Linked DNA regions of Astyanax mexicanus. The protein of the gene in region 1 binds, or shares a complex with, the protein of each later gene. Links are inferred from orthologs where the notes say so. Each region holds a gene or a part of one and is shown on either strand. Other genes may lie near its edges. The genes, in order: phf2 and vrk1.

Evidence for each region.
Region 2: the proteins of phf2 (region 1) and vrk1 are in contact, whole or in part, in a crystal structure (PDB 8F8Y), measured with the Homo sapiens proteins. The link is inferred for Astyanax mexicanus from reciprocal best matches to the Homo sapiens genes PHF2 and VRK1. Residues at the interface, in NP_005383.3 of Homo sapiens: Tyr7, Tyr14, Val16, Thr17, Arg18, Phe19, Met20, Ile21, Glu22, Trp29, Glu39, Ala42, Ile45, Asp46, Tyr48, Lys64, Tyr145, Ser147, Glu150, Lys175, Val178, Asp179, Tyr182, Ser183, Thr184; in NP_003375.1 of Homo sapiens: Pro2, Arg3, Val4, Lys5, Ala6, Ala7, Gln8.

Annotation. Positions count from the first base shown.
Region 1 is NC_064431.1:32,873,031-32,882,673, forward strand, and holds the start of phf2 (lysine-specific demethylase phf2), read left to right. Parts: upstream 1-5,838; 5' UTR 5,839-5,867; coding exon 5,868-5,965; intron 5,966-9,643. UniProt on the Homo sapiens protein: Lysine demethylase that demethylates both histones and non-histone proteins. Enzymatically inactive by itself, and becomes active following phosphorylation by PKA: forms a complex with ARID5B and mediates demethylation of methylated ARID5B.
Region 2 is NC_064421.1:5,352,601-5,362,366, reverse strand, and holds the start of vrk1 (serine/threonine-protein kinase VRK1), read right to left. Parts: upstream 4,075-9,766; 5' UTR 3,989-4,074; intron 3,633-3,988; 5' UTR 3,574-3,632; intron 679-3,573; coding exon 519-678; intron 426-518; coding exon 370-425; intron 1-369. UniProt on the Homo sapiens protein: Serine/threonine kinase involved in the regulation of key cellular processes including the cell cycle, nuclear condensation, transcription regulation, and DNA damage response.

The DNA.
Region 1 (9,643 bases):
AGGGTGAAGGATGCCGGAAGGGTTCAGGGTTTTTGAGGAGAGTCTGGATGGAAAGATTGAAAGCGTAGAGTTGGTGAACGTTTTTTCCTCTCCGAAATATAAAAATAAAAAAAAGCAGAGAAAAGCTTAAAAAGCTTAACTAACTTGATGATAAACTTGAGGACTTTTACTGTATGAAATTTTCAGAAATTCCTCTTTCGACGTCAGCGAGTTAAAACCTGCGAGTAACGACGACATTTCTCAGCGCGAACGCAACACACACTCAACTCAACACGATAAAGAGATTTAAAAACGACGTTTCTTAGAGGAAAATAATTATAATAACACCAGTATATAAGGAGTTATAATATGGGTCTGCTCCCTCCTCACTGATGATATACAGTATAATAATAATATATTAATTAATATACACTATATTGGCAAATATATTCACTCGCTCACCTGCATTGCAAGGTTTGGATGAATTTGAGCCGATCGGTCATGTAAACCTCTCTTTATTCCATTACTGTTGTTCTAATCTGAAGCTACACGAAGTTTGGAGGTCTGTAATGTTGTAAACCAGGAAGGGTCCATCCCCAAACTGTTCCCACAAAGATAAAGGCATGAAAATGTCCAAAATCTCTTGGTTTGCTGAAGCATTAAATGCTTCTTCACTGAAACTAAAAAGGCTCGAGCTCAACTCCTAAAAACAACAAAAAAAACACCACCACCACCACACCATAATACTAATGATCCCCCCTCATCCAAACTTTTACACCTAGCACAATGCACCACTGCTGTCATTTCGATTTAAGATGATCGGTCATGTAAACCTCTCTCCATTCCATGAGTCTCTCTACACTGTTCTGTACTGTTCTTTACTCCACACCATACTAATGATCCCCCCTCATCCAAACTTTACACTCAGCACAATACAGCCAGACAAGTACTGTTCTCTTTACAAAACTGCTGTCATTCCCAGGCTCTTCCACTGTGTTATAATATCACTGACAGTTGGCTGTGGAATATTTAGTAGTGAGTAGTAGTGGGTAAATTTCACAACTGGACTTTTTGTTGCATGACTGGGTGCTGCATCCTACCCATCACGGTACCACAGTGCTGGAGTTCACTGAGCTCCTGAGAGCCTGAGACCCATCCTTTTACTAATAGACTGTTTGTAGAAGCAGTCCCAGCATGCCTTGCTGCTGCTTTTTATGTTTTATTAAACACCTGTGGACACGTAAGTGATTGGATTGAACACCTGAGTGAATATATGTTTGGCAATATAGTGCATATATATATAAAAATAGACATTTTTGATTTTACAGAACAGAATCTTCGTTCAGTAACTTCAGTAACTTTATAGGTTGAGATCTGTCTGTTAAGACTGTTCTATCAGTACTTGGCACCACATATATATATATCTATATATATATGAATAAATATATATATTTGCGCCATTATAATTGAATTTGTGTTGTGTCACAGTAAATATACAGCTTTTATTTTGAAATTTAGTTTGTTTAAGGTGAGCAAAACTCATGACAAAAAAAAACAAGAAGGAGCAAAATGATAAATTCACTGTGGGTGGTTTAGTCGTGCTTTAAAAAAAATAAAATGACGTAAATATACGTAAATATACTTGCAGCCTTAGGTTCTCTCCGTTTGATCGGTGTCATACTTTAGCAGTGTAAGAAACATCGGGACATCAAGAGACATCAAGCAAGAAGCGAAAATCGATTCATTTCTATCTGATCAATAGAAAATTAATGAACGTTTTCGTCAGAAACCGCCACGTGACTTATCGATTTATCCGTATCCGTGTGGTTTCTTGAATCAGTCGTAGAACATTATTATTAAAGAACATGAATAAAACGACGGTTTCAGCAACTTTCAGCAACTCTGCATGATTCTCTTCACGATGAAAATCGAGCAAAAATCAAAAATCAAAAAAAGGTGTGTAATTATTATTATTATGATTATTATTATTATTATTATTACGATGCATGTTGTCCTTTTTCTTTCCATCTCTACAAGTAAGTACTGTGCCCATTTGCAAAATCTTTGAAACATGGCTAATAATCAGTAATAATAGTCCTTATTAAAGGTGTTCTAACTGTTAGTCAGTAACTGATTTGCTCTAACCTTTTGAAATTCTTGTGATTTATCGACCTCTGTTGCATTTTACTCAGAAAAACTCTGGATTAATAATAAGAGAAAATAAAGAGAATATATCAGATGTTATCTAGCCACTTTAAATATTGTTAACCCTGGTGTACTACTCTTCCATCTCCATCCCTGTATCTGTTCTTGCCCTTTGTTGCTGCTGTTTTTGTGCATCTTCATAATTATCGCATATAAAAAAGAAGAAAAGAAAACGCTTTGATCTGTTTGAATGCCACGCCCCCTTTTTCTCTCTCTCTCTTTTTTAATTTTTTTTTTATTTATATAAAGCCTTCCCAAAGTCCCAAAACTCTTTACGCATTTCTTTCTTTTCAATTTTAAATGCTAAGAGACAAAAAATCATATTTTACATCATATTTTACATTATAATTGATCAAATCTGATTCTACATCATCCAAATTTATATAATTTAATTCAAAAATGCTTAAACAAACAAACAATCAAAAACAAACGCGATTTTCCTGCTTTTGTTTTGGCTGCTGCGCCTGCGCAGGTCTCCACAGCAAGCAGCAAGCTGATTGGCTCTTTTTGCTTAAAATGCAAAAAGACTTCATCCATAAATGTTGATATTAATATTAGTAATAAGAGTTCAGAGAAATCCCATTTTTACACAGAAGTAATTTTCCTCAGTCTCCTCGTTAATAAGGTCTCTATGCCCGTACGTTCTAGAGTTTAGCGTTAATAAGCACAGGTTAAGAACTTCGTAATCGTTTTTTTCGGTGTTTTGCGTTTTCGTGTTTTTTTCCCGGAGCTGCTTCTACTTCTGATTGAGAATCATTACTTACAAAAGTTTTCCATCTAATCCTCCTGATTAAGCTTTTCGTCGCACATTAGTGATCAGAAATATGGTGTACTATCCCCCCGCCCGCCAGACTAAATAGGTTACCTTAATGTAAGTTGATGGGAGTTGTTTCCTAACTCACAGGGTGAAGCGGATCGATCTACTGTGGGGTTTTGAGTGACTGTGGATGGATTGTGGTGTGATGTATTAGAAGGAAATTGAATGCAACTTACAATGCTTAATAAAAGTCTTTATTCTTTTAGTATAATTCCACTGTGTCTGTCTCTTTTTTATATTTATTGGGATTAGTTCTAAACCGTTAAGAGTTTGGCGATACGGCCCTAAAATAATATTGCAATATTTCAGGGTTCGCAATTTTGCTTGCGATAATGATGTTCCTGATGATACGAACAAAAAAAAAAACACTGGAAAAAATGAAGAGAGCACATCAGTTTCTCTGATTTTGCTATTTATAGGTTTATGTTTGAGTAAAATGAATATTGTTGTTTTATTCTATAAACTACAGACAACATTTCTCCCAAATTACAAATAAAAATATTCTCATTTAGAGCATTTATTTACAGAAAATGAGAAATGGTTGAAATAACAAAAAAGATGGAGAGCTTTCAGACCTCAAATAATGCAAAGACAACAATAAAAAAATAACCCTGGTTTTCATGCATCTTGGCATCATGTTCTCCTCCACCAGTCTTACACACTGCTTTTGGATAACTTTATGCTGCTTTACTCCTGGAGTAAAAATTCAAGCAGTTCAGTTTGGTGGTTTGATGGTTTGTGATCATCCATCTTCCTCTTGATTATATTCCAGAGGTTTTCAATTTGGTAAAATCAAAGAAACTCATCATTTTTAAGTGGTCTGTGAGCTGTATGCTGTAAATGTAGAGCTAAACTACCACTATACAAGAATCCAGCATCACATTTCTTTCCAGAGCTGTATATGTTTAGGTTACAAAGTGTAAAAACACAAAAAAACACACCAAAAAAACTCCCTAAAATTCCTAAAAATCAAGAAGTGTAATTTGTTTAAAGTTGGTGTGCGCCACCTACTTGTGAACATACTACACCCCTCATACAGCAGAACTGGTTACTTTATTTACTGTAAATATTTTGTGTCATTCATTCTTTGTGTCAGTTACATGTAGGCAGTAAAACTGTGCTGAAAGATAAGGTAATACGTTTATATTGTATTACACTTTTATATATACTACTACCTCTGGTCCTGGTGATTCCTCCTATTTAAAGTGTATAAGGACACAATATGGAAAAGAACGTTGAATAAAGGTATTTTGGCATCACTAATGCACTAAAACAACGTTGATCACCAGCATGTATGGTTAGTATTAGACTTTACTTACATTAAATTATCAGCATCAACCATTCAAAACCTTTAGCTAATAGCCTACATGAACGTTCATTCAATGTCAAACTTTTAATATGTCAACATTAACCGATGATCCCTATTATAGGTATTGTTAAATATTGTTAAAGTTTTTTTTCCATAATTATAGGTGTTTGTTTATTTCACCCTGCTGGCAAAGAATTACATTATCATTATCATATCAGCCTCGACTATTTAAAACATTTAGATAACAGCCTACATGAGTGTGATTTAGTGATAGAAGTGTAATAGGATGGAGACTACAGACTAGTAAGTAGCTCTCCAGCCCAGAGGGTTGTTGAACCCAAATGCAGAACAGTTGAATTCAAAGCAGGTAAACCCAAGAAGAAAGGAAAATAGTAAATAAATAAACACACCGCTCCTCACGCGGGATTGAACACGCCCTCATAAGTAGATGGGGAGTCCGAGAATGTGCAGAAAACCAAGAATGGACGGAAACTAAAGCCACGCCGAGCGCGACAAAAAGAGACAGAGGAGGAATTTAAACAAAAGCTCTCCAGAAAAGCATTTTATTTATTTATTTTTTTCCATTATCGTTCATAGTTCAAATAACCTCACGGGCCAGATGTTTCATGCTTGAGGGCCACATCATCTAGTGCTGGTCTTCACCTAGGTGGCACAGGGGCTTAGTGGTTAGCACGTATGCCCCCCAGCACTGGGGTCTTGGGTTCAAGTCCCTATCTGGGTGGACACTAGTTTCCTCCCACAGTCCAAAAAACATGGAAATCAGGTAAATTGGATACGGATACTCTAAATTGCCCAGAACAATTAAATACTCTAAATACATTTTGAAAATTGGGTACTCTAAATTGGTCTGGTGTGCATATGTAAAAAGTGTGTGGTATATATGTAAGTTGTGTGTGTGTAAAATGTATGTATGTAGTGCCTGATGCAGTCCTCCTCCAGGTGGACGGTCGTTTCCGGTTGAGAGTACGCTGTGCATTATTGGCTGCCTGGTGTTCTCACTGGTGTGTGGTTGAGTGCTGAGTTTAAATGGTTGTGTGTAAAATGTCTAAGTAAATTGTAAAGCGCCCTTAAGGTTTCTAGAAAGGCGCTATCTAAAGGTGTGAACTTAATTAATTAGAGCATCACTCCTGATAGGGGGAGTCTTAGTAATGAGTGGGTTGGGTTATAATTAATTGCCTAAGGTAAATTGGGGAGAAAATAGAATAAAAAAAAATAATAATAAAATTAATGTATATATTAATATATATATATAAAAAAAAACATAAACGTTTATTGAACATTCCTTCTTCCCACTCACTCATTCTCTCACTCATATTCTCTCTCTCTCTCTTTCTCTTTCTATCCCGCCCTTCACCCTCCACCACTCCGATCTGATGAACACACGCTCGATCTGAGGATCTCCCCCAGCTGCTGCTCAGCGCTACTGCATCCAGCCTTTTACTGCCTTCCTGCCCTCCCTCCTCCTCTCTCTCTCTCTCTTTCTCTCCCTCCCTCCCTCCCTCGCTCCTCCTCTGCTGTTGTGAATGCTGATCTAACATGGCGACCGTGCCCGTGTATTGCATCTGCAGGTTACCGTACGACGTAACCCAGTTCATGATCGAGTGCGACGCCTGTAAGGACTGGTTCCACGGCAGGTAAAGAAGCAGCGCTCGCGGCTCGCCGCGCGGCCGCCTCCGGGGCTCCGCCGGCCCGCGAACGAGCGCGGAGGGCTCCGGCTGCGGGTCTGCCCTCCCATCTTGGTGTTTTTTGTGTGTATTTTTCCTGCTCGCGCTTCGTTCTCTGTGTGCGCGCGAGAGGCCGCGCTCGGTTCCCCTTCAGCACTGCTGCCCGCCGCGGGGCTCCGGTTTGCGCCGTTTTTTCGGCGCGCGTTACCGGCGCAGATTAGCGCGCGCGCGCTGCTTTAGAGAAATTACTCGTATAGTAACATAGTAACATCGTTCTCGGGCGCCTTTTTTTTGTGAACGCGCGCGTGCGTGTGTGTGTATGTGTGTGTATATATATATATATATATATATATATATATATATATATATATATATATATGTATATGCGTGTGTGTGTATGTGTTTATATATGTGTGTATGCGTGTGTGTGTGTGTGTATGGTACAGAGAGAGAGAAAGAGAGAAAGACCCTGAGAGCGACCCTGACCATAAAGGCAAAGAACGTTAAAACATTAAACGTTAGCTTAAATAATAATAAAAAAGCTTTTTGTTGTTTTTCTTAGTTGCATGAGGTAAGGCTTGATGGTGGGGTGAAATAGCAATAGGAGGCGGCAGCCTTTAAACAACGTTTAACAACCTTTAACATTGCCCAGGCATGGAATTCTGACATTGAATCAACGTTCATGTAGGCTGTTGGCTAAATGCTTTGAATGGTTGGGCTACAATGCATCATTTAGGTGAAAGGTGCTGAAGGCGTTGAATCAGTGTCAAACCGATTTGCGGTTTCAATGATCAACTTTGTTTCAGTGCATTAGCGATGGAAGGGGGAGAGACCCTGATGATAGAGCAAAGAATAAATGTTAAATAAACGTTCATTAATTGTTGTTTTGGTTTTGCATTAGCCTATGTCTGTTTTCTTGAGGTTCGGTTTGAAAGGAGGCGGCAACCTTTAAACAACGTTTAACAACCTTTAACATTGCCCAGGCATGGAATTCTGACATTGAATCAACGTTCATGTAGGCTGTTGGCTAAATGCTTTGAATGGTTGGGCTACGAAGCATCATTTAGGTGAAAGGTGCTGAAGTCGTTGAATCAGTGTTAAACCGATTTGCGGTTTCAGTGATCAACTTTGTTTCAGTGCATTAGCGATGGAAGGGGGAGTGACCCTGATGATAGAGCAAAAAGTAAACGTTAAATAAATGTTAATTAATTGATGTTTTGGTTTTGCATTAGCATATGTCTGTTATCCTGATAGGCTTGATGATTGAGGAAAAAGAAGGCGGCAAACTTTAAACAGTGTTTAACAACCTTTAACATTCCCTAAGCATGGGATTCTGACATTGAATCAATGTAGGCTATTAGCTAAATGCATCTTTTAGGTGAAAGGTGCTAAAGCCTCACAGATAATAATATTACTATTATTACATTAGCATTACACGTACATGCTATTTAATGTAATTACCATTTTAATACGAACCATACACTCTGAATCAGTGTAAAATCGATTTGCAGTTTCAGTGCAAGGGGAGTGACCCTGATGGTACTTTAAAGAACGTTAAATTAACGTCAATTTATTTTTGTTTTGGTTTTGCATTAGCCTATGTCTGTTATTTGGGGTTAAGCTTGATAATGGTAAAAAAGCAGGTTCCCTTTCACAATATTTAACATTGACTGTAATGTCATCTGACATTAAATCAACGTTCATGTAAGCTATTAACTAAAGGTTTTGAATGGTTGGGCCATAATGCTTATTTAGGTGAAAGGTACTTAACTGCTGTTTTGGTTTTGCATTAGCCTATGTTTAGGTTGATGATGAAATAAAGGAGGCAACCTTTAAACAACATTTAAAAACGTTTAACATTGCCTAGGCATGAAATTCTGACATTGAATCAATGTAGGCTATTAGCTAAAGGCTTTGAATGGTTGGGCTGCAATGCTTCTTTAAGGTAAAAGGTGCTAACGTCTCACAGATAATAATATTACTATTTTTACATTAGCATTACACAGTGCATGCTATTTAATGTAATTAACCATTTAATACGAACCATACACGTTGATTCATTGTAAAATCAAAGTGTTGATTTGCGGCTTTGGAGATCAACTTTGTTTCAGTGCATTAGCAATGGAAGGGAGAGTAACCCTGATGGCAGAGCATATAATGTTAAATAAACGTTAAATAATTGATAAAGGTTAATTAAACAAATAAAGCAGACAACCTTTAAATGGCCTGTGAAAACATTTATAATTGTCTGTAAAAGGCAGCACAGGTTATTGTTAGTGTTGAAATTCTGACATTGAATTAACGTTCACAAATAATAAGAATACTTGTTATTAATAATTATTATGTAGGCTAAATATCACTTTCTACACTGCAACTTGAGAGATCATGTGCACAAATATATCACTTCTGATAGTGGGAGATAAACATTGTTTCAGTGTATTAAATGTATTTGCAATGGAAAAATAAACGTCGATTAAACATGGTACTTTTTTGCTATCTGTGGAGCTAAAAAGGCTTTGCTAGCTGACTAATATCTGACTTAGGCTTATAACAGCTGGTTGTCTAGCTGTGCAACAACAGTAACAGTGCAGAAAAGGGCTAATTTGTTTAAAAACGTTCTTGAGATGTTCTGGGCTATTTTTGACCCTTCTTTTTGCTTCAGTTTGCACCAAAAAATATTTTTGATAATTATTATTTAGGCTAAATGTCCCTTTCTGCACTGCAAGACATATAATACCATAACATCTACTTAATGTTGTGAAATCGATGTGCACATATAAATCACTTCTGATGTTGGGAGATAAACATTGTTTCGGTATTCGGTATTAAATGTATTTGTGATGGAAAAATAAACGTCGATTAAACGTAGGTTACTTTTTTTTGCTTTATGTGGAGCTAAAAAGGCTGTGTTAGCTACCTAGCTAATATCTGACTGAGGTTTACAGCTGGTTATCTAGCTCTGCAACATCAATAACAGTGCAGAAATAGGGTTAATACGTTTAAAAACGTTCTTGGGATGTTCTGTGCCATTCTGGACCGTTATTTTTGCTTCAGTTTGCACCAAAAAATACTTTTTTCTGAGTTAATTTGAACCGTAAACAACATACAGCTAAAGCTAGCGTTAGCTCTGAGGCAGAATAATAATAGCCTGGCTGTGTCACACACTGCAGATTTTACCTCAGAACAGCAGTATCTGTTTAAATCACTTCATATCACCTCATTTATCGCACAAACCGATCAGATCGATCGATTAAACACTCGATTGATTAGTTTGTTTGGTCACTAGCTTGCTAACCCTGCTAATCACCCGCTCTTCCGCCCACTGACAGCAGCGGGTAGCGGCAGCAGCCGTAGCCGGGCGAGTCTTCACAGTCAGCGGGAAGCAGCTACGGCAGCTCCCGCCGCGGAGATCCGGCTCTATACCCGTCATTTTTCGCTAAATTCATCGTTTTAACGTTCGTTTCTGATTCTACAAACACTTTTAAACACGTTAACACGACGTTTAATCAGACTTTTGCCTCCGAAAGCTCGGCATTAATGGAAAGACTGAGGGAGAAAGAGAGGAAGCCCCATTGACTGAGACATTTTACGCGCCTAATGTTTTAACCCTTTCATTACTGCAGTGCTTCTTATTGATAGGAGAAAGCA
Region 2 (9,766 bases), on another chromosome or scaffold:
ATATATATATATATATATATATATATATATATACACACACACACACACACACACACACACACACACACACACACAGCACCTTTAATTGACTTCCTGTAAAGTGCTATTAGTTTGAAACTTATTAGAAATAATAGAAACTTGAAAAGTTAACTAATACAACAGAAAGTGATATTTTTCTTCAAACTTCAAACAAACTGCTCAACTAACAGGGTTAGTTAGTTTTTTTTTGTGTTTTTTTTCTCTCAACACCACACAGCTATTTACTGTGAGAATCACACTACAATCATTAAAACGATGCTCTTATCAATGCAGAACTGCCACATTGTCATTTGTGTTCATACCATGTTCACGTGAGGTGTGAGGGCTTACCACTTTGATGACATATGGCGCATCGGCTCCAACAGCTCTGGAAGTATCATCACTTGCTGAAAAGAGAAAATTACAGTCACTTATGTGTCATTTCACACCAGATATTAATATACCTTTTAATAAAAGCTAAATGTTTCACAAACTCTTACCCAGATACAAGAGACCAAAGCCTCCCTGGCCGATCGGCGCTCCGAGTTTCCAGCTTTTCTTCGCTGTGTCCGTCAGGATTTCTCCAGGTGGGAATTCCTCGGCCAGTTTTCTCTTAGCTGGACCCTTTCCTTTTCCTGCTGCCCTGGCTTTGGGAGGCATCTGATGATTCAGAGCATAATAAAGATTTAGATTACAACAAAGACTAAAAATGACACTCTAAAGACTTTAGTGAATGGACGTCTATAGAGTCTGCTGAATCTCTGAATCTAAAAACTAAATCTTAAGGTAAATGATACAGAAAATTAAGTAATTATGTAATTGTATCGTTATTTTACAATATGTTTTAGGACTAGGGCGTCTCACCCACACTATCAATTACAAAAACATTAGCCTGCATTACCCGCAAAAAAAAATGTTGGCTGTGTTCCTAATGACACACTATCACACCAAACAGTGAGGTAAAAATGGTTCACCACACAAGGGTGTGGTTTGGGACCGTAACCCATGAAAAGTTTTCCATGAAAAGTCACACTTATTCACCACCATACGTTGTAAAATGAATAGAAAATAGAGTCAAGACATTAACAAGGTTAGAAATAATGATTTGTATTTGAAATAACATTGTTTTTACATCAGACTTTGCTTTCATCAAAGAATCCTCCATTTGCAGCAATTACAGCATTGCACACCTTTGGCATTCTAGCTGTTAATTTGTTGAGGTAAGCTGGAGAAATTGCACCCGACGCTTCTAGAAGCAGCTCCCACAAGTTGGATTGGTTGGATGGGCACTTCTGGCGTACCATACGGTCAAGCTGCTCCCACAACAGCTCAATGGGGTTCAGATCTGGTGACTGTGCTGGCCACTCCATTACCAATAGAATACCAGCTGCCTGCTTCTGCTGTAAATAGTTCTTGCACAATTTGGAGGTGTGTTTAGGGTCATTGTCCTGTTGTAGGACGAAATTGGCTCCGATCAGGCGCTGTCCACTGGGTATGGCATGGCGTTGCAAAATGGAGTGATAGCCTTCCTTATTCAGAATCCCTTTTACCCTGTACAAATCTCACACCCTACCAGCACCAAAGCAACCCCAGACCATCACATTACCTCCACCATGCTTAACAGATGGCGTCAGGCATTCTTCCAGCATCTTTTCATTTGTTCTGCGTCTCACAAACGTTCTTCTTTGTGATCCAAACACCTCAAACTTGGATTCATCCGACCACAACACTTTTTTCCAGTCTTCCTCTGTCCAATGTCTGTGTTCTTTTGCCCGTCTTAATCTTTTTCTTTTATTAGCCAGTCTCAGATATGGCTTTTTCTTTGCCACTCTGCCCTGAAGCCCAAAATCCCGCAGCCGCCTCTTCACTGTAGATGTTGACACTGGTGTTTTGCGGGTACTATTTAATGAAGATGCCAGTTGGGGACCTGTGAGGCGTCTGTTTCTCAAACTAGAGACTCTAATGTACTTATCTTCTTGCTTAGTTGTGCAACGCGGCCTCCCACTTCTTTTTCTACTCTGGTTAGAGCCTGTTTGTGCTGTCCTCTGAAGGGAGTAGTACACACCGTTGTAGGAAATCTTCAATTTCTTAGCAATTTCTCGCATGGAATAGCCTTCATTTCTAAGAACAAGAATAGACTGTCGAGTTTCAGATGAAAGTTCTCTTTTTCTGGCCATTTTGAGCGTTTAATTGACCCCACAAATGTGATGCTCCAGAAACTCAATCTGCTCAAAGGAAGGTCAGTTTTGTAGCTTCTGTAATGAGCTAGACTGTTTTCAGGTGTGTGAACATGATTGCACAAGGGTTTTCTAATCATCAATTAGCCTTCTGAGCCAATGAGCAAACACATTGTACCATTAGAACACTGGAGTGATAGTTGCTGGAAATGGGCCTCTATACACCTATGTAGATATTGCACCAAAACCAGACATTTGCAGCTAGAATAGTCATTTACCACATTAGCAATGTACAGAGTGTATTTGTTTAAAGTTAGGACTAGTTTAAAGTTATCTTCATTGAAAAGTACAGTGCTTTTCCTTCAAAAATAAGGACGTTTCAATGTGACCCCAAACTTTTGAACGGTAGTGTGTGTGTGTATATATATATATATATATATATATATATATATATATATATATATATATATATATATATATATATGTCCTGTTTACATTAATGGTCATATACACATTAAATCAAGCAAACATTAAAGCATTTATTAACAGTATTAATAAACACAAACTTTATTAGAAATTAGATTAATAAATTAATTAATAACAGTTAGTCTAATCATGAATCATGTTTTGTGCTCCTTGATATTTCGATATGTGGTGTTAATATCAGTAGATAGAAAGACAGAGATATATACAGATGCACACAGATAAAAATGAGGCAGATGTATAAAAAGTAAGATAAATAGACAGATAAAGAGAGATAAAGAAAGATAGAGTTGGATAGACAGAGAGATATATACACAGATGGAGACAGCCAGATAGATGGAAAAAAAAGACAGATAGAGATAGCCAAAAAGACAGACAGACACACGGATGGAGACGTCAGACGTAAAAAAAAAAGACATATAGGGACAGCCAAATAGACAGAGAGACAGACAGATACAAGAAAAGATATAGACAGCCAGAGGTAGCCAGATAGACAAATAGACAGACAGAGATAGCTAAATGGACAGACAGATAGACAGACAGACGGATGGATGGAGATAGCCAGAGATAGATGATATGATATGGAGATAGATGACTAGACATACCCGGACTGAAAGACAGACAGACAGACAGACACACAGCCAGATAGACAGATAGATAGACAGAGACATAGCCATAGACATATAGAAATTAGAATGGACTTTAGCGTGTTAGTCAGACAGCTAGTTAGTTAGCTAGCAAGATATGCAAAGAGAAAGACAGATAAACAATGAAAAAGAGCGACAGACAGCATTAGAAACTTCAATAAACAGTGAATCAAGAAAACGGGCAACACTCGTTCCTTTTCCTCCAGTTAAGGGAGATATATATTTAATTGTTACTAAACTTCACTCACTTTTATTTTCACTTTGCAGCAGCAGCTTCCAGTAAACTGTCTGAGTGAGGTTAGCTCTGCTATAAACACAAACACAATATTAATCAGCAGTGTTAAATAATAATACAGCCAAGCTATTATCACTCTCCAATGTATATCATTTATAAACGGAGTTAAGTTATATAGCTATTAATGTAGAGCTGAGATCATCCAGCTAAAGCTAAAGCTAATGCTAACAGGCTTGACGCAGTTCAGACCCAGCATGCTAACTTAGCTTAGCTTAGGCGCTAACTCTCTCTCAGTTTAAACCCAACACGGTTAAAACACCCAGCACAGCCCGACAGCGTTAAATCCAGCCCCTCCTCTCCTCTCTATCCGCCGGCAGCAGCGCGAATCAGCGCGGTTATTAATATTACATTTAATAATATTTACTAACCTCTGTGTTTTGCTTTCTACCGGCTCCAAAATTCCCGCACAACTTCTGCTGAAAGGAGGAAGCTGATTGGTCAAGGCGGGGAACGCAATGAGCCCTGGGATTTGTAGTTGTTTGTAGTTTAGTCGATTTGTGGCAAAAGTTTACATGTTGTGACTAAATTACATATTTTATTTGCATGAAATGATATTGTTACGACTTAACTTTAATAATTTGACGTTGGTTTGACACATTATAAGTATAAATCTTTAAAAAAAATGTTTAACCCTCTATGGCATGGACTATATTTATTGGGAGAAAAAAAAACATTTTTGGAGTGGATATATCAAATATAGTCAAATATTTTGTCTTTTTATAATAAACTAATCTTTTAAATCTGACGTTTTAGAGCAAGGAAGCACCCAAAATATGCAGGAGTGTACAAAAGATTATTGCTCTATTGCACATGTAAATATTTTTAAGTTGTTTTGGATAAAAGTGTACGCTAATTGCTAAGTAATGTAAAATTTAATGTAAAAATAATATAATAAGTAAATAAACAGCCAAATATACTTTTTTACCTATTGTCGCACAATTACATATTTTTATTTATGACCCACTTGTAGGTCTCATTGCAATGGGCATAGATATTCCTTGTAATGTAACATTATATTAAAAATAAATATACAAATAAATACATTTAAAAAATAAGTAACTCTAGGGTATGGTGTAGGTTTTTTTTTTTTTTTTGGAGGGCAACACTCTGCCATAGAGGGTAAAATAATGGAGGTCAGCAGGTTTATAAGCAATTTCATTAGTGCAAGTTCATTTTGTGCCAATTCACATTTAACATTAAGTAGTGCACATCCATAGTTTAACATTTAAAACAAAATGTAAGTAAATTCACATTTACAAAAAACTACCAGTTTATGTTCCTGGTTCATTAAAAAAATGTCAAATGTTTCAGAAAATGCAGACAATTTTAAAAGCGTTTAAACTCCACTTATAAACCTTTTAAACGTGCTCTGGCTGTAACCTAGCATCAGCTCATCAACCAATCAGCACACAGTAGCAGTAATGCTAGCACCTTTATTGCCTAAAAATATTTATTTTATAATATTTTACTGCAGAAAATAATAAAGGTATGTTTTCTTTGTTTTTTTAGCAAAATGCATCATTCTACTTTTCAAAACTAAATAAATATTCTTATAAAGTGGTTAGTTACTGTTTTTTATTTGTGTTTTTAGCTGTTTAGCTCCATTCACTCCCATTCATATTGGTCTCACTCGGGGGCTCCCTCTAGCGGTGAGCAGTAATTTTCTATGATCGGAAGTGGGTACTCTCGCCATAAACTAGCTGTGGCTTGTCTGCGATTTCAGTTGCGGGAGAGTGAATTATGCTCACCTTTACCTTCATTAATTGTGAAAATGTTTAATTAAGGCCGTTTACTGAAGGAGTTCATTCACAAGTGGGGTTTAATGCGTGTGACGTCACCAAGCCGCCATATTTGAGGTATAGTTGCTGTGAACTGTGAGGAAAAGTACTAAAAACTGACATTGTTTCATAATGTTTGGACATTTTAAAGGGATAAAACTGTAGAAACTGTAGTAAAACAAGTTTAACGACACTGCTAAATAAATAAGACCAGACTACAACAAACTGAAATGCTATTTCTGCCGCAAACGGCCTCATAAAATTATCTGGATATTACAGATATTAGATTAATTAACTTATAGCACCTGTAAACACCTGTAAACTTTTCTGAAACTAGGCTTTAAAACCCACACACATTTGTTTAATGAGGGCAGGACAATTTTCCATTTCAGCCGAAGCTTCAAAACATGAAACTTGTGCTTAAAGCACTGCAGAATTTCCCTTTTTTAAACCTTGTCTTTAGGCACTAATATTTGCCACACTACTATTACACACTACTTTTTTAAATATTTAGTTTTAAGATCAATACATGAATGTATTGTTAATAATAGGGGTGTTCTATATTGTATCAAACACAATAATATCAATCAAAATTTAACATAATAAAAAAAGTATATTTTTGATATTCTTAAAAGTTTAGTTGTTTGTTTGCAGTTTATATGTATGCACTCAATATGCTGTACTTTAGTTTTGTGGTAGATTTCCATTGTTATATTTACTTTATGTTTTTATATTTTTCATTTTGTTACACTTATTATTTTATATAAACTCAGAGTTTTGGTTATTTAGAGTTTTGTTATATAAGAATTGTTTACGAAATAGACAAACACAATTATGAATTATTTGTTTCTACTAAATGTATAAAATATGTTATATTTAATACTAAATAGTACTTTACTATTAATCTTGTTGCAGTAGTTTATTGTAGTTTTATATTCTTGAAATTAATTTTAATAATGTCAGTTTTGTCATATTACCAAGAATACTGATATTGCAAAAATACCATGACATATAATAATGTATTTATGCAAAATACTGGAAAAAGGAATGTGTAAAATTACATTTTGCTATGTTGCAAAAAATAAAAAATAATAAGTTAAAAATATTGTTTTAGTTCTAGTCAATAATAATTTACTCTTTTTGTTGTAGTGTGGTATTTGTTGCCCAGTTGAGGAATTGAACTATCCAACCACTACAGTGTAGGACTGTGAGGTTAATCCGATAAATTTAATAATCAAGTTACTGTTTTAATGCAATTTTCAAAAAGGCATAATCGCGATTGTAGATCTTAGAACATACAGGAGCTGCCAGAGGGAATCTCAGTAGACACAGTAGATATTTTCTTCTGTCAGAAACCTGTGAAGAACTGTTTTATAAGGAAATGCAAGGACGTTTTGTTTGCATACTATTTTAACTATTCGTTTACAATAGACATTACAATTTACATTAAATATAAAGGAAACATATACAAATATAAATAGCTTGTTGCTTTTTGTTTAGAAATAAAACAATATATGTTGTTATGTAAAAATAACAAAAAATCGCTCATATATTTAAAAAATATTTAGAATATATATTTTTTTTACAATATCGCCCAGCCCTACTACATTGTATGAATATGAATATAAATGCTGTATTGTTTTAGTTTTTATTCAAAACATGGCCTATTAATAGTGTTTGCTCAGACTGTGTGTACCTTAGCAATTACCGTTTGTGTGTAGGCGACCCTGCGACGCGGTCCTTTGTGGTGCGGGTGGGTTATATTTGGTTTTTCTCAGAAACTCTGTGCTCAAAAATGCATTTTCATCCGAGTGTTTCATTTGTGTTCTTACACAGCATATCGCTGTGTGCATATTTGATGTTGAAATGGAGTTCCACCAGCACTGAGAGGCACGGGCATCATTAATAATGGATGCTGTGGTATCCTGTAACTGCTTTGTAAAAGTGTTAAGCACTGGTCTTAAGTTTCCAGCTGCCATCCGACTGTTTTGGAACTGCGACAGAGCAGTTCGCACAAGTGGATCCCGGAGTTCATTGACTGGTTTTGTTGTCAGATGGAATAAGAATTGGATGATGTTTCCATAGCCGTTCCGGCGCGGGTATAGCCATGAGGATAGACTCGTGTTTACTTCATCAAATATTACTGGATGTCAACCGCCGTTAGTGCCTATTCAGACTACCAGCGCTCGGATGGCCTACATCGAGTGAAGCTCCTGGTATCTGGGCCGCGCTGCCGACGACAATGACAGGTCACACAGAGGAAGAGGCGACACGCCCGTTTGGAAAGAAGTGCAGAGGGGAAAAGCGCGTGTCCTTCCCTCCTGACGAGGAGATGGTGTCAGGCTTTGCTGAGAGCAGGGACACACTGCGGGATGGTGAGCTGCTGCTGTTCTCTCCATACAGTCTCTCCTCCTTCGTCCTCGTTCACTCGTTCCTGTGTGTGATCTGCAGCAGCTTATATACATCTACAGCGGCCATGAAAAGTATTTAAACACTAATAAACCATTAAACCACTGATGATTTTAAAGTTCTTTTTAGGTTTCTGCTTAAACAGGCCCTGTTTAAGCTATCTTTAATCTGTAGGTGAGCTGTCAACATGTTTTGGTGTGTCTTTGCTATCGTAACGATGGGTAAAGTACACTTAGGGCCCTATTTTAGCCATCTATAGCGCATCAGTCAATTGCGGCTCACGCAGCTGTATTTAGAGTATCATGAGGGTGCACAAAATGAGTCTAAAAAAATCTATAAAAAAATAAAATTCAGCAATGTTATTTTATTCTTTATTCTGTTCATTATTTATGTAAAAGCTGGATTTGTGCTCTGCATTGCATTGTAGGTGTTCTGAGGGTGCATGACACTCCAGCATGGATAAGATAGGATTGGGCGGCTGACTGTTGACTGTTGTCAGGGTTTTAATCAGTCCGTGACACACCTGTATTTCCCGCCGCCAAGATAGAAACATGGCAGACATCAATGTAAATTTATTGACACTATTTTAACAGCGTGAAAATAGACTTTTGACTGGGTGTAAGACAGCATCGAGGATTGCAACGCACTTTGTCCCTGTGTGTAAAAGCTGGGGGTGTACGAGTGTTAGGGATGTGCCTGTGTGTTGACAATTCACTGACAAGATAGCAATGAACGTCTGACTGTTAAGGTCTGTCTAGGTTGTATTTAGACAGTGAAGCATCTGTGAATACATCAGACATTTTCCTGAACACACCTTATTTCCAGACCACCACCCATCAGTGTAGATATATTTACAAGCAACGTTGCGATTTAAACAACACAGAAGCCGTAAAAACCAAAATCTGTGTATCGTACGTATATTATGCAACACATGTGTCCAATATACAACATTTGTGTATTATTATTATTATTATTATTATTATTATTATTATTATTATTATTATTATTATTATTATTATTATTATTATAGTACTTTAATATTAATTGTGTTGCAGTAGTTTATTGTAGTAGTTTATCATTCTTTAAATGAATTCTAAAAAATATCAGTATTTTGTCACATTACCAAGAATACAGTTACTGCAAAAATACTATGAAATATCATGATATATTAATGCAAAATACTGTAAAAAAGAAATGGTACAATTGTATTTATATTAAATTACATTTTTCTATATTGCAAAATAAAATATATATATATATATATCATATTATGTTCTAGGTAATAATAATTTGCTAATCTACACCAACCACTGTTTTATTATCCACAGTATCATACATATATTATGCAAATGTATCCAATATACAGTATTTACATGTTTATTATTATTATTATTATTATTATTATTATTATTATTATTATTATTATTATTATTTACACTTTACACTTACTTGCCCCATTACTGAAAGTGTTTTTTTGCCATCCCCACTACAGAACTATGAATTTGAATATAACAAATTATTAGTAAAATATATATTTTTTGGTTGGGGATAAAACATGCATTGATTTATTTATCAACTGATTACTAAACACTCTGAAAACATATCAGCAAAGCATACATTTCCAAATATATATATATATATATATATATATATTTTTTTTTTTTTTTTTTTTTTTTTTTTTTTGTGGCACTCAAATATAATATAATATACAAAACATAACAAAAATCTTATAACTCTTTATTTTCTGTCCTCTGATTAGAGATGAGAGATTAGAGATGTGTGTTTTTCAGTTGTGACGTTTATACCTTATCACAGATCTATTTATACTCAGTATGTGCAATATGAACAAGCTCTCTTTAAATGGGATTGTTATGGTTTCATGTAAATTGCAGTGCAGCGTCACGTGGTTTGATGGAAACGTCTCTGCGTCTTAATTCTGATTCGGATTTTCACAAACAT